Linked DNA regions of Cricetulus griseus. The protein of the gene in region 1 interacts with the protein of each later gene in a biochemical or structural test. Links are inferred from orthologs where the notes say so. Each region holds a gene or a part of one and is shown on either strand. Other genes may lie near its edges.

Region 1 (3,650 bases):
AAATATTTGCTTAGTTATTTTATGTGTATAAGTGGTTTGTTCATTGATTTTTAGACAGGTCGTCACCGTGTGGCCTTGGCTGACCTGCCTCTGCCGCCCGAGTGCTAGGGTTAAAGGTGTACATCAACACAACCAACTGAGTGTTGCTGTATGTACACATGTATGCACATGCATCACAAGTGTGCCTGTAGAGGTCAGATGAGGGTAACAGCTCCTCTGGAACTAGAGTTACAAAAGGTTGTGAGCCATCACCTGCATGCTAGGAACCAAACTCTAGCCCTTAGGTGCTCTGAAGATCAGCCAAGGACTCTTCACAACACAGACATCTCATTAGCCCCTTGCAGCCTACTCTAGTGAAGCAAAACAACCTACAGGTCTCACTTCACACAGTTTTTAAATAAGATGTCCCCTAAACCTCTAGACAAGTGTGTGGCCACAAATAGTTTCATGGTACCTTGTCCTTACCAGCAAATACCATTCCTATAGATACTTTATCAGAATGAACACTGTATACATAATAAATAAATAAAAATCTTCAAAAAAAAAAGTTACAGAGCAAAACTTGCATCAAAAAGTTGGGGGAACACATGTCTGAAGGTCAGAAAATAACTTTTAGGAGTCTATTCTACTTCCACTGTGTGGGTCCCAGGGATAGAATTCAGGTCATCAGGTTTGGTGCAAGTGTCTTTACCTGATGAGCCATCTAAACAGCCAACAGAGGAACATATGGTAACCTCGCTACAACACATTAAGTTTATTTTGATAGTAACCATGTTCCTTTTAGGTCTTCTATCATTCAAGAAAGAAAATGTTATAGCTCTACATGGTCATGCTATTGAGATTTAGAGCAAGCCAAATGTTTCCCTTCCCTCCCCCAAACAGGGACTCCAGAGCTCTGTGTGGCTGAAGGATTCGTTTGCACACACATTTCTTTTCTGTGGCCTGAGTGAGGGAGCAGAGCTAAGACATGAGTGAAATTCTCAAAGAATGGTAAGTTAGCTCTGTTTCCATTTGGATTTAGGAATAATCTAACATGCTCTTAAGTAATCAAGAGTAAATTTGAGGAGCAGGGATGCAGCACCGTGGTAGAGTTCCAGTCCACTACCTGTGAGAATTTCAGTCAGACCAACAGAACCCCAAACAAAAACAATCAAAAAGTACATTGTAACTATATTACAGAAGAAGCTCTAAGTACACATAAATTGCCTAGTGGCAAGTAAAACCTTAATGGGACAGATATATAGTGGATCACAACTGGTTCAGAGATTATTCATTAACATGTCTAACTTTTCATTTATTCAATTCTCATTTTCTAATCACGTTGGATTATAAACAATGAATGTGAACACACTGTTAACAACACAGAGTAAGTCTTCAATCATTGCTTAACAAATATAGGCTATGCTAATGATTTTGATTTTTATAAGAGCATGTAACTACTGGCATAATTAATAATATTTTATTTCTTAAATTATTTCTCCTTTATGTGTATGGGTGTTTTGCTCACATATTTGTCTGTATACCACATGCATCAGAGGCCTGCATAGGCCAAAAGAAAATTACTGAAATTACAGATGACTGTGAACTGCCATGTAAGTACTGGGAATTGAACCTGGGTCCTCTGGAAGAGGATCCAGTGCTCTCCCACTGAACCATTTCTCCAGCCCCTAATACTTTAGATTATGAACATTAATGTAGGACAGTCAGTGCTGAGTTTAGAAGTAGAGATTTTTGCTCACAAAATATTAAAGGCTATGGTTTTCATCTCAAATCCATTTCCTGCTCTCTATTTTTACATTCAGTATTTTAGCTCAAGTATAAATAATATCTGTCCATCTTAACTATCAAAATTTTATCTTCCTCACAATATTATTTTTGTATTATCATCAAGCTATTCAGTATCTTAATTATGATCACATATACTACATGTTAACCTTTAACTAACCAAAGAATTAAACCCCAAACTCATTAGGTTTACAGAGATTCTGTCTTTTATTGTGATAAGCTAATAGCCAGCACAGCTGTCTCCAACAAAAGCTAAATAAACCTATTGAGAGCTTGTTTTTTGTTGTTATTGTTGTTTTTAAAGGAAAATACACATTGTACTCTTTAGATGAAAGCTACTTATGTAAGACTTCTGGTTAAATACTGTAGCTTGCTGAGTTTTATAAATTCAAATAGTAAGGAGATGCTGAACATAATTCCAAATTTATAATTCTTTAAAGTAATGAGAATCCAAATCACTAATTTTTAAAAATGCAGCAATGGGGCTGGAGAGGTGGCTCAGGGCTTAATTACATACATTAATCTTCCAAAGGACAAGAGTTCAATTTCCAGCACTCACATCTGGTGGCTCAAAGTCGCCTGTTACTTCAGCTCTGATGCCTCTGCACTCTCACACACACACATACACATAATTAAAAATAAAATTTTAAAAATGTAACCATTACTAACTTCACAAGATTTTGAAATGCAAAACCATCTGTCCACTGTTCAGTAAAAGAAGCGCCATGTCTAACTGTTGTAAAGTGCCCAAGGCGTAACCGGTCTTGCATACTCTTCTCTCTGCTTGACAATTTTTCTTGAGTACTCTGAAATGAGGGGGGAAAAATCAATTATACCATTCAAATTTTAAAAGCATGCAAGGCAAAGCAAAATACTAAGGGAAAGGAAAATTTAGTACTAACTCACCTTTTCAATAAGAAGTTTCTTGCTCATTGATATGCACTTATTTAATCGTTCTTTGTATTTTTCAAGTAATTTTTGTTGATCATCTATCTGCCGCCTGAGATCACAGTTGGCCTACAACATGGTAGAGAATGAAAGGTATATAATCAGTGTACATGAAAATCTTAGTAATCATTTTAGTGGTTTGAATAAATTATATAGATAAGAAAAATGCCAAAAGTCTATTTAATAGTAAACATTAATTTAACCTTATAGGAGAAAGTACAGAAAATTTATGTACACATTCTAGACATACACATATATATACCAAGGTATGTAATTTTGGCTACATAAATTGAATCTGAGTTCAGTTCCCTTATTTCTTTCTTTCTTTTTTTGTTTTTTCATGACAGGGTTTCTTTGTGTAGTCCTGGCTCTCCTGGAACTCACTATGTAGACCAGGCTGGCCTCAAAACTCAAAAAAATCTACCTGCCTCTGCCTCCTGAGTGCTGGCACTAAAGGCATGTGCCTCCACCGCCCACCCAGTTCCTTTATTTCTAAGTGGAAGTAGTATAATCTACCTCAGCTAAAAAATAAAATGTGGTATATCATGTGTGTAACACATTCAAGAGGAATGTGAATTTCTTCTCACACTTCCTGACCTCTCATACCACTTTCTCTACTGAACAGGGACAATACCGTAATTTGTTGAGTCAATTACCTACTTCCAGAACTCCTTGAATAGGCAGCTATATGCTCACAGAGGAGGCCTCTCTCTAACTCACAGAGTCTGGCTACCCTGCCATTACAGGAAGAGAATTACTACTGTGGCCTGCTCAGATACCCCACCCCCAAATTTTCTAAATCAAAAGGTCTGGAGAAGAGCCTGGGAATTTCACTTTCTCCAGCAATGCTGCTGCTCCTACTTCTGGGTACTAAGATCCATAGGCCTAGGCCAATCACACAAAAACCAAGAGACTAA
Region 2 (4,193 bases), on another chromosome or scaffold:
CTCCTCCCCTAGAGCTCACAAAGCCCAGAGCAAAAGAACTTTCAGAGCCACAGTGCGGCATCTTTAATCTTTACACCTCCTGAGTGTAGCTCCTGGTAGCTTCAGAATCGCTAACAAGCATCTCCTATGGACTTTGTTTCTAGGCTAAAATTTGCCCACCACAGATTTCAATAGAGACTTAAAGCCTTCATGGAAGAATGTTCTAGCAGTTTTCCCATGTGCTTGGGAGGCACAGGGACTTCTGATGTGTTATCTCTTTGTTGCAGCATAGGACCTCCCAGATTCCTTTAGTGTGCTCTGGGGGACTGGTAAGAACCTGTCTTTGCAAGCAATAGCTTATTAATGTGACGCTGGGTCACAGGGACACTTGCTTTTCTTCCTTATCAATAAAGAAAGCTAAGCAAAGGATACCAACTAAGATGGGTGTCTCTATGGTCAGGCCACCTGGGGGATGGAACCTGGATGTTTTAATAGGCATGGCCACTAGCTAGTTGTGGCCTTAAAATTTTACTTTTGGTCATATGTATATCTGGGTGGGGGTATTTGCATGTTGTAAAAGCTGGTACCCTCAGAGTCCAGAAGACTGTGTCGGATTCCTAGGAGCTAGAGTTACAAGCAGTGATGAGCCAACTGATGTGGGTGCTGGGAACTTAACTAGGGCCCCCTACAAGGACAGGGGAGCATCTTTAACCACTGAGCCATCTCTCCATCCCCTAATGGTGGACATTTAAGAAGAAAGGAAGGGGGGGGGGATGAAGCTCTCCCACTTCAGTTAAAACTTAAATGCAGGAGTCAACAGTTTTCAGTATCGAGCCTGGTGTTTGGTGAGTGGTCAGTCAATGCCACCTGCTATTGGGAAGGCAGGGGAAGCTGCTGACATTGGAAAGAACCTGGAGAGGGGCGAAACCCACATGGTGGAAGGCGAAAGCTGACCCCTTGCAAGTTATCCTTTGACCTCCACACTTGTTCACCCACCTATACCCATAAGTAAATAAATATAATCTAAGCATTAAAAACATAAAGAGCCTGAAGAGGAAACCAAGATTCAAACAAAATAAGCTTTAGCACTCCAAAATCCAGGCTAAACTGGAACATCCTTGAAAGATGGGGCTATGTTCTTTTTCTGTGTTCACAGATTTTTTTTAAAAAAATCACACACACCATTTCCACCAAGAACCAACACTTCATATCTAGACAGACATCAAAAGTGGATTTGACACATTTTTAAAAAAATCTCAAGTCGATAAAAGTACGCATTTCAGAACAATTAAATTCTTAGGCGTTGCACCTCACATTCACGATTATTTTAAACTGTTATTTTCTCTCTCAGGTTTCTGTTTATCCAACCGAGAATCTGGGAATGTCTACACGAGCTGGGGGGCTGTGCACCTGTTATGTGGTTATCCTGCACTCCAACTTGGGTTGGCCTCTTCCCAGGATCCCATCCTCTAACACGGGTGCCCCCACCCATCCCAGAGGTGCCGGTGGCAGGGGAAGCTCTTCTGGGAGAGCCATGAGTAGTGAGTGAGTGGTCCTTTGAGCTCATCTAGACATAATCTCCAAAGCCACAGGTCTTAAATGAGACCTCCCTAAGGTTGCCTTCTTCTAAAGAAATGTTCTAGTTGCATGCCCGGTGTCCTGCGCAGGCAGAGGCGATGCCTGTCCAGTGTCTGATGCCTCCCACCCGACAGGCTCTCACGCCCTGCTCCAAGACTGTCCCCAACGGCACAGATCCACTCTCATGTGGTGTGGTGTGCTGTGTGGCTCAGCAGCTGTCCTGCTGGCAAGCGTCAAGTGTCAGAACTGATTCCTCAGAGAATCACAAACCCTTGTCCAAGCCTCGCTCCACCTCCCAAATCAGGGGACTAGAGAAACACCTCAAAATCCCACACAGGGTACGCACATCCCCTAAAAACCAGAGGCGTTTACAACACACCAAAGCAGAACATGAACACGAGGACTGTCCCCCGGGGGCTACTGGGACCCGGCGCTTCAGCAGGACCAAGAGATCAAGTTAGGGCGGGAAGACGGGGCCGGGCTGGACACAGCGCGGGGGCCAGCAGGTGGGCAGGGTGGGAGAGGGCCTAGGAGCCCGAGACAGGCCCGGAGAAGGCGGAAGCCTGGACAAGTGCCTGTCGCCGCCCTCTGCTCGAAGAGGAACTGCTTCTCCTTGTGGGGAAGGGCAGAGCAGGGCAGGGCTCGCACGAGGGCCAGCAGGTGTGTGGTTAGCAGGCAAGGCAGGCTTAGGTGGGCCCCTGGGCGCCCTCGGAGCCCATCAGGACCCCTCTCCGCACGCGGACGGCTGTCTCTCTAGACCGAGGTCACCTCCCACCTCTAAACTCCTCCCCTCACCATTTTTAGGCCGCTCGAGTTTCAGCGACCCCGGGGTCCCCAGGCCTGGCCGGAGACCACTCCGGGCTATCCTGCAGGCTCCTAGTCCCCACCGCTGTGGACCTGAGTCTACACTTGCGTCCACCACTTGCCAAGAAAGATGGGGCTGCCGACGTGGTTTCGGTCCGAGAGGTCGCCCAGCTGCCACCTGCGGGGACACCTGCTCCTCTGGTCAGTTGTGACCCGGGCGCTCCTGGCCTGGGGAGGGATCAGAGTTCTGGTGCCAGTACCGAGCACCCTTCCCTTCGTCTCTTTGAGAGTCAGGCTCGGTGCCGAGGTCTCCCGCTCTTAGGGGCGCGGAGACAAAGGCTCCAGGGCCGCCCCGCGCGTCCCTGATGACGATCACTCACCAGTGCTGCCTGCGCCTTGGAAGCCAATGGGCGCCCGGGAGCCCGGCAGGAGGGGCCCGACGCTGGGCTCGGGGTCGCTGGGCCGCGGGTACTGTGTTTCGGGTCGCCAGGCGCGGGCCGCCTGGGCCAGAGGCTCGTCCTCGCTGGCGCTCAGCAGCGGTGACTGACAGCGGCTGCTCCGGGGACGGGCGCGCACCCCGCTCCCGCCCCGCCTCCCTCTGCCTGCAAGCAGGTAAATGCGCGCCACTGGGAGGGCGGAGGACAAGCGGGGACCCAGGGGCAGGGCAGCCCTGCGAGCCGCGGGGCGGGGCTTTGCTCGTCACCGCCCTACGCTCCGCACCGCTGCTCTCGGAACCTTTCCTGCTTCAGAAGCCTGGACAGCGGGAGCTCGGAAGAGAGGTCTAATTGGCATCGCTCGCCCTGTACCATGGGTTACCTTGATCCCTGGCACCTGTTCCGGATGAGAAGGTCAGCCGGACCCGAGGTAGTTTTTGTGTTCTGGGCCTGAAGCTGGAGCTGAGACCGCAGGTGCTGGCTAGAGGGCCCAGGACGTCTGTTGTCACGAAGGAGGCTAGTGACTCCAGCAAGGAAATTTCCCTTTCTGCCACTGAGGACCCCACTGTGCTTACTTGAACACAGGTTCCCTGCTGCCACATGGATCTTTTGACTCCATCAGCCTGACTCAGGGTAGGTGGGAGGAACTAGTGGAAGGGGACCACGCTGAGTAAGTCTCTAGTTCTTCGTGAGATAAACATTATGAGGGTATCAATCAGACAACCTAGGGACACACACTATGCATGCAAAGAACAGAGGACAGGAAGTCTCAGAGCTGGCTCCTAGGGAGTTTCCAGGCGTTTCACCTCCTCATGGAAGGTGGAGGATCTTGTGACTATTTCCAAATGCCAGTCTTTCTAAGACAACTATTTTCACAGTAGTGTAGAGACACCTAACTAGTCCGTGCACCTAGGAGCTATGGTATACGAGGGGGAGTCGGAGAGGATGTAGGTCCTGGGATTTGGAGGTAAGGATAGAAAAGCAGGGGAAAGGTCCTGGTCCAACCTAAGATGGAGTGACTTTAAGCCTGTTTGAAGCAAGAGGGCCACCCAGGACAGGGATGTCCAGTGCTCACAGCTGGCTTGATGCTCAGGACATCAGAGAATGTTAGAACTTTGGGTCCCATTCCAGGCATCAAAACTCAATGTCAGCAGCCAGGAGACAGATGTGTCCCAATGTCCCTGCCCTGCAGGTGTCAGTGAATCTGGGAGCTGCCTAGCCACAGTGGGAACAACAGCCTCATGCCCTCCAAGGCTTCTGTTGATTCCCAGGAACAACAGGTTTCCTTCCCAGTGGCAGGTATGGCTGATCCAATTAGACTCTTTGAAAAGAATTTGCGAAATGTTGCTTACATTGTTTGTAGGGATACAATGCTTGTGTAATAGGTGTGGAATATAA
Region 3 (3,650 bases), on another chromosome or scaffold:
TTGCTAACAGCAAACCCTCAGTCCCAGCTCCTCAGTTCTGTATCTAAGAGGTAGCTTCTCTACAGTGTGCTCTTAAGCAACCCCCTCACCCATTTCTAAAGGATTTCTTCAAAACGAGTATTCGCTGAAACTGTCCTGTCTGTGAAGGGAGAAACAGAGGTCAGGGACAGGAAGTAGATTTTTGTTCTGGATTCTGCCTGCAGTAAGACTTGGTTGGTTAGGTAGAAATACTTCTAACAAAAATTAATAGTTATTTAAAAGCTAACTCATTACTCCTTGCAGTATTATAAATAGCTTCCTCTAAGAAGCATGGATAATTGAAAATAGTCACTAGTTTAATATGGCAATTTAATATAAAGTAAGAGAAATAACAGTTATACAGAAGATAATGTCTCAAGCTTAGGCACAGACTTAAATACTGTCAGACGTATTTAAGAACATGATTTATATTCGCAGAAATCATACTCTCAAGTTCTAACGGGTAATGGACATGTCACAGCAGTCCTCTATAAAAACCTAGATAAAGCAGCTTCAGTGAAGCGCCAGACTTTAATCCCAATGGCTCAAGTCACATCTGCTAACATTTCTTAGCCTTGCAGTTACTATGTCAAAATGAGGTTGTTGAAATTACATCAGCAGGCGAGTATTACTAACTAGCACACCATCTGAATACACATTTGGGGATGCTTTCATCTTGAAGAACTACTCCACAGGACAAACCCAAATCAATCTTGTGAGCGCCACAATACAGTTTAAGGTGTATTGTGGTCTGACTAGTTACCAATAGTAAAGACATTAACATCTCTGCACACAGTCTCAAGTACAGAACTCCTTTATGACAGATACTGCCTGAAACAGAGCAGACTAAAAGTGGGAGTAGACGAAGTAAAATTACTTAACATAAAAAGGATCAAGAGCTCTGAGATCATTTAGTCTATTAGAAACTGTAGTGATATTTTGTTCATGATCTAACAAATAAAGCTTGCATGAAGATCAGAGTGCAAAGCTAACCACACTAGTTAGCCATAGAGAGAGGCCAGGCAGTGGTGGTGCATACCTTTAATTCCAACAATCGGGAGAGAGAGGCAGAAGGATCTCTGTGAGTTCAAGGCCATGAGATTGAATCTATCTAAAAGAAAAACAGCTCACACAAAGGTAATCTCAGCACTCGGGATCCCACACCTTTAATCCCAGCTCTAGAGAAGAATATAAAATGGGAGAGACAGGAGCTCATTTAGCAGTCTGAGGAGCAGTGCAGTCTGGAGATGCAATCAAAGGACATGATCGCCCCTTTGGTCTGAATATTGGTAGAGGTTAGAACACTCTAGTGGCTGGCTGCTTTGCTCCTCTGGTCTTCAGGCAAGCTTTATTTGTTAGATCATAAACAAAATATCACCACAAGACACATATTTGACATATACATTTTAAGAGTAATCTTACCTGAAAAACAAACATATGCCTTCCTGCAGGAACGGGGCCCACTAAAACAGAGTCTAAAACTTGATCGTATTCTTCACTTTCGGCAGAGCCCACATAGATAATTTTCCACTCCAAGTCTAGGGTTAAAAACCAAAAGCATTATTGTATTTATCAATAGCAATTATATTAACAGATGATAAAGTCCTCATCTAGAAAGATATGGAAATGTTCCTTATGAATTTCTTACCAGAATTCCTGTTTCATTCCAGTAACCTTTCCAAATTCTCTTTCATGAAGCTCTTGTCCTTGGAGAGGGCTCCTCCCAAATAAAACCTGAACAAAACCTGGGGAAATGCTAAGTTTCCCCAAGTACTCATAAAGCAAATGGCACAGTACTCAGAGAGCTCCTCAAAGAATACCTGGAACACTAATCCCACTGCCCAGGTGATTTACTGTGCAGTCTCCCAGGCTTGCCTCACCACTGAGGAAAGGCTGCCCTGTGAAAGAGAAATCAACACAGAACCCAGAGTGGGAAATGGTCAGCAAACCTTACTTGTGGTTCAGAAGTAAGGGGCTTCATCATCTGATGTAAATTTGTCAGGCTGTTATCTCCTCCCTCTTGCTGGCTGAAATAACTGATGGTTTATACTAACTTATAGTTACCACTGATACATATTACCACTATTCCAACTGTAGCTAAGGATATAGTGGAGCTGTTTCTTCCTTTCCTCCATACATTCTTAAAACCACAAGAGGAAACCAAGATCCTTACACCTCCTCAACCAGCAGGGACATGATACACTCAAGTACAACCTGAGACTTGGCTTGTGATTCAATCTAGATTTCATTAAGCACCATTTTAGAAAAGTCTATGGAGAACAGAGAGGCATAAAACCATTTCTTTTTGAAGGAATCTGTTCTTTAAACAAGGGTGAAGATGACAGATATCTCCTAAGGTGTTGAGCATGTGTGGTCTATGTTTGGCTTCATTAGTGAGACTATACTAAGCATCCCCTAAGAGACTGTTTCAACAACTGAGGATGGAGACTATGGTGGTGTGGTTCACTATGGTGACCATGAGGGTAAAGTAAAGCACTATATCCTAGGTAAAAAGTCTGGGGATGGAAGCAGCAGTAGGCACTCTCTTTTTCCTTTTGGGTATAAAGGAGAAAATAATCAGGAGTTAGTTTTATACGTGTTTGGAATGTCTAGTAGATGTTTCAGTGTGGATACAACATAGGCCCGATCTTAAAGAATAGAAAATAGGCAATAATACATAAAGACAAGGAAAAGAATGGGATTCCTAAGCACTGAGCCTATGGACTCTCCAAAAGATCGGGAAGATGAAGAATCAATTAAAATATTAGGAGCTATTGGCCAATGAGGGAAGTGATCCAAAAGCTAAATGAAGAAACTAAAGAAGGGTATATGAAAAGCTACTAAGTGACCTAAAGTATTCGCATGGGCTTTGTCACTTTACAAAAATGCTTTATTATACAGATAGATCATTCAAGCACACACATACTGTACATGTGTTATATAAACAAGAAAGCTGAGACTGGGAGAAGCTAAGTAATTTACTAAAAATTCACGTTGCTTACAGATCAGAATTAGAATTCAAGTTGGGCTGCTGCTACTCAAAAGCCTTGGCTTTAAAATAAATACAAGTAACTGGGTAAGTTCTGCCCCTTTCTAGCTGTGAACTAATGAAATTAAAGAACACAGAAGGTGGGTAAAAACTGGCAGTGGAGAGCTAGATAATCCAGCCTCAGTAAGTACAAGCAGTAACTCAAGAAGGGGCACACACTGGGTTTTAATGCCATCGAATGCTTATTTATTAGTTTGTTTATAAAGCCAGTTTTCCTTTCTGAGTTTAGGAAGTTAAGGATAAGTCCTGTGGCACTACAAGTTACTAGCTGGAATTTACTCACTTATTTAAAAAGTTAACTTTTCTATTTAATCATGGTAATCCCAGACAGAAAGTATTTCCATGTGTGATGAGAGGTGTGTTATCCAGAAAATTTTAAGTTAATTACACTGTTGGGAATCTGTAGTCTAGGAGAAAGTATAAAGTCTTTGCAATCAGAATAGGCCTGAACTTTTAAAATATAAAGCCACAGGCTCAGTTTTGGTACACTGCAAATATTAAACCCTAGAAATTGTAGGGAGGCTAATCAGACTTGTACAGGCATAGCAATGGGGGCATGATAAAGCCCCTACTTAGATCCCTT

What was found.
Region 2: the proteins of Tlk1 (region 1) and Mbp form a complex in vitro, tested with the Homo sapiens proteins (2 studies listed by BioGRID, with this or other methods). The link is inferred for Cricetulus griseus from reciprocal best matches to the Homo sapiens genes TLK1 and MBP.
Region 3: of the proteins of Tlk1 (region 1) and Asf1a, one has a biochemical effect on the other in vitro, tested with the Homo sapiens proteins (3 studies listed by BioGRID). The link is inferred for Cricetulus griseus from reciprocal best matches to the Homo sapiens genes TLK1 and ASF1A.

Annotation. Positions count from the first base shown.
Region 1 is NC_048599.1:104,455,657-104,459,306, reverse strand, and holds part of Tlk1 (serine/threonine-protein kinase tousled-like 1), read right to left. Parts: intron 2,803-3,650; coding exon 2,692-2,802; intron 2,592-2,691; coding exon 2,455-2,591; intron 1-2,454. UniProt on the Homo sapiens protein: Rapidly and transiently inhibited by phosphorylation following the generation of DNA double-stranded breaks during S-phase. This is cell cycle checkpoint and ATM-pathway dependent and appears to regulate processes involved in chromatin assembly.
Region 2 is NC_048595.1:233,085,373-233,089,565, forward strand, and holds the start of Mbp (myelin basic protein), read right to left. Parts: upstream 2,872-4,193; 5' UTR 2,742-2,871; intron 2,611-2,741; exon of another isoform or gene 2,484-2,610; intron 2,478-2,483; exon of another isoform or gene 2,353-2,477; intron 1-2,352. UniProt on the Homo sapiens protein: The classic group of MBP isoforms (isoform 4-isoform 14) are with PLP the most abundant protein components of the myelin membrane in the CNS. They have a role in both its formation and stabilization.
Region 3 is NC_048595.1:255,436,330-255,439,979, forward strand, and holds part of Asf1a (histone chaperone ASF1A), read right to left. Parts: intron 1,557-3,650; coding exon 1,441-1,556; intron 1-1,440. UniProt on the Homo sapiens protein: Histone chaperone that facilitates histone deposition and histone exchange and removal during nucleosome assembly and disassembly.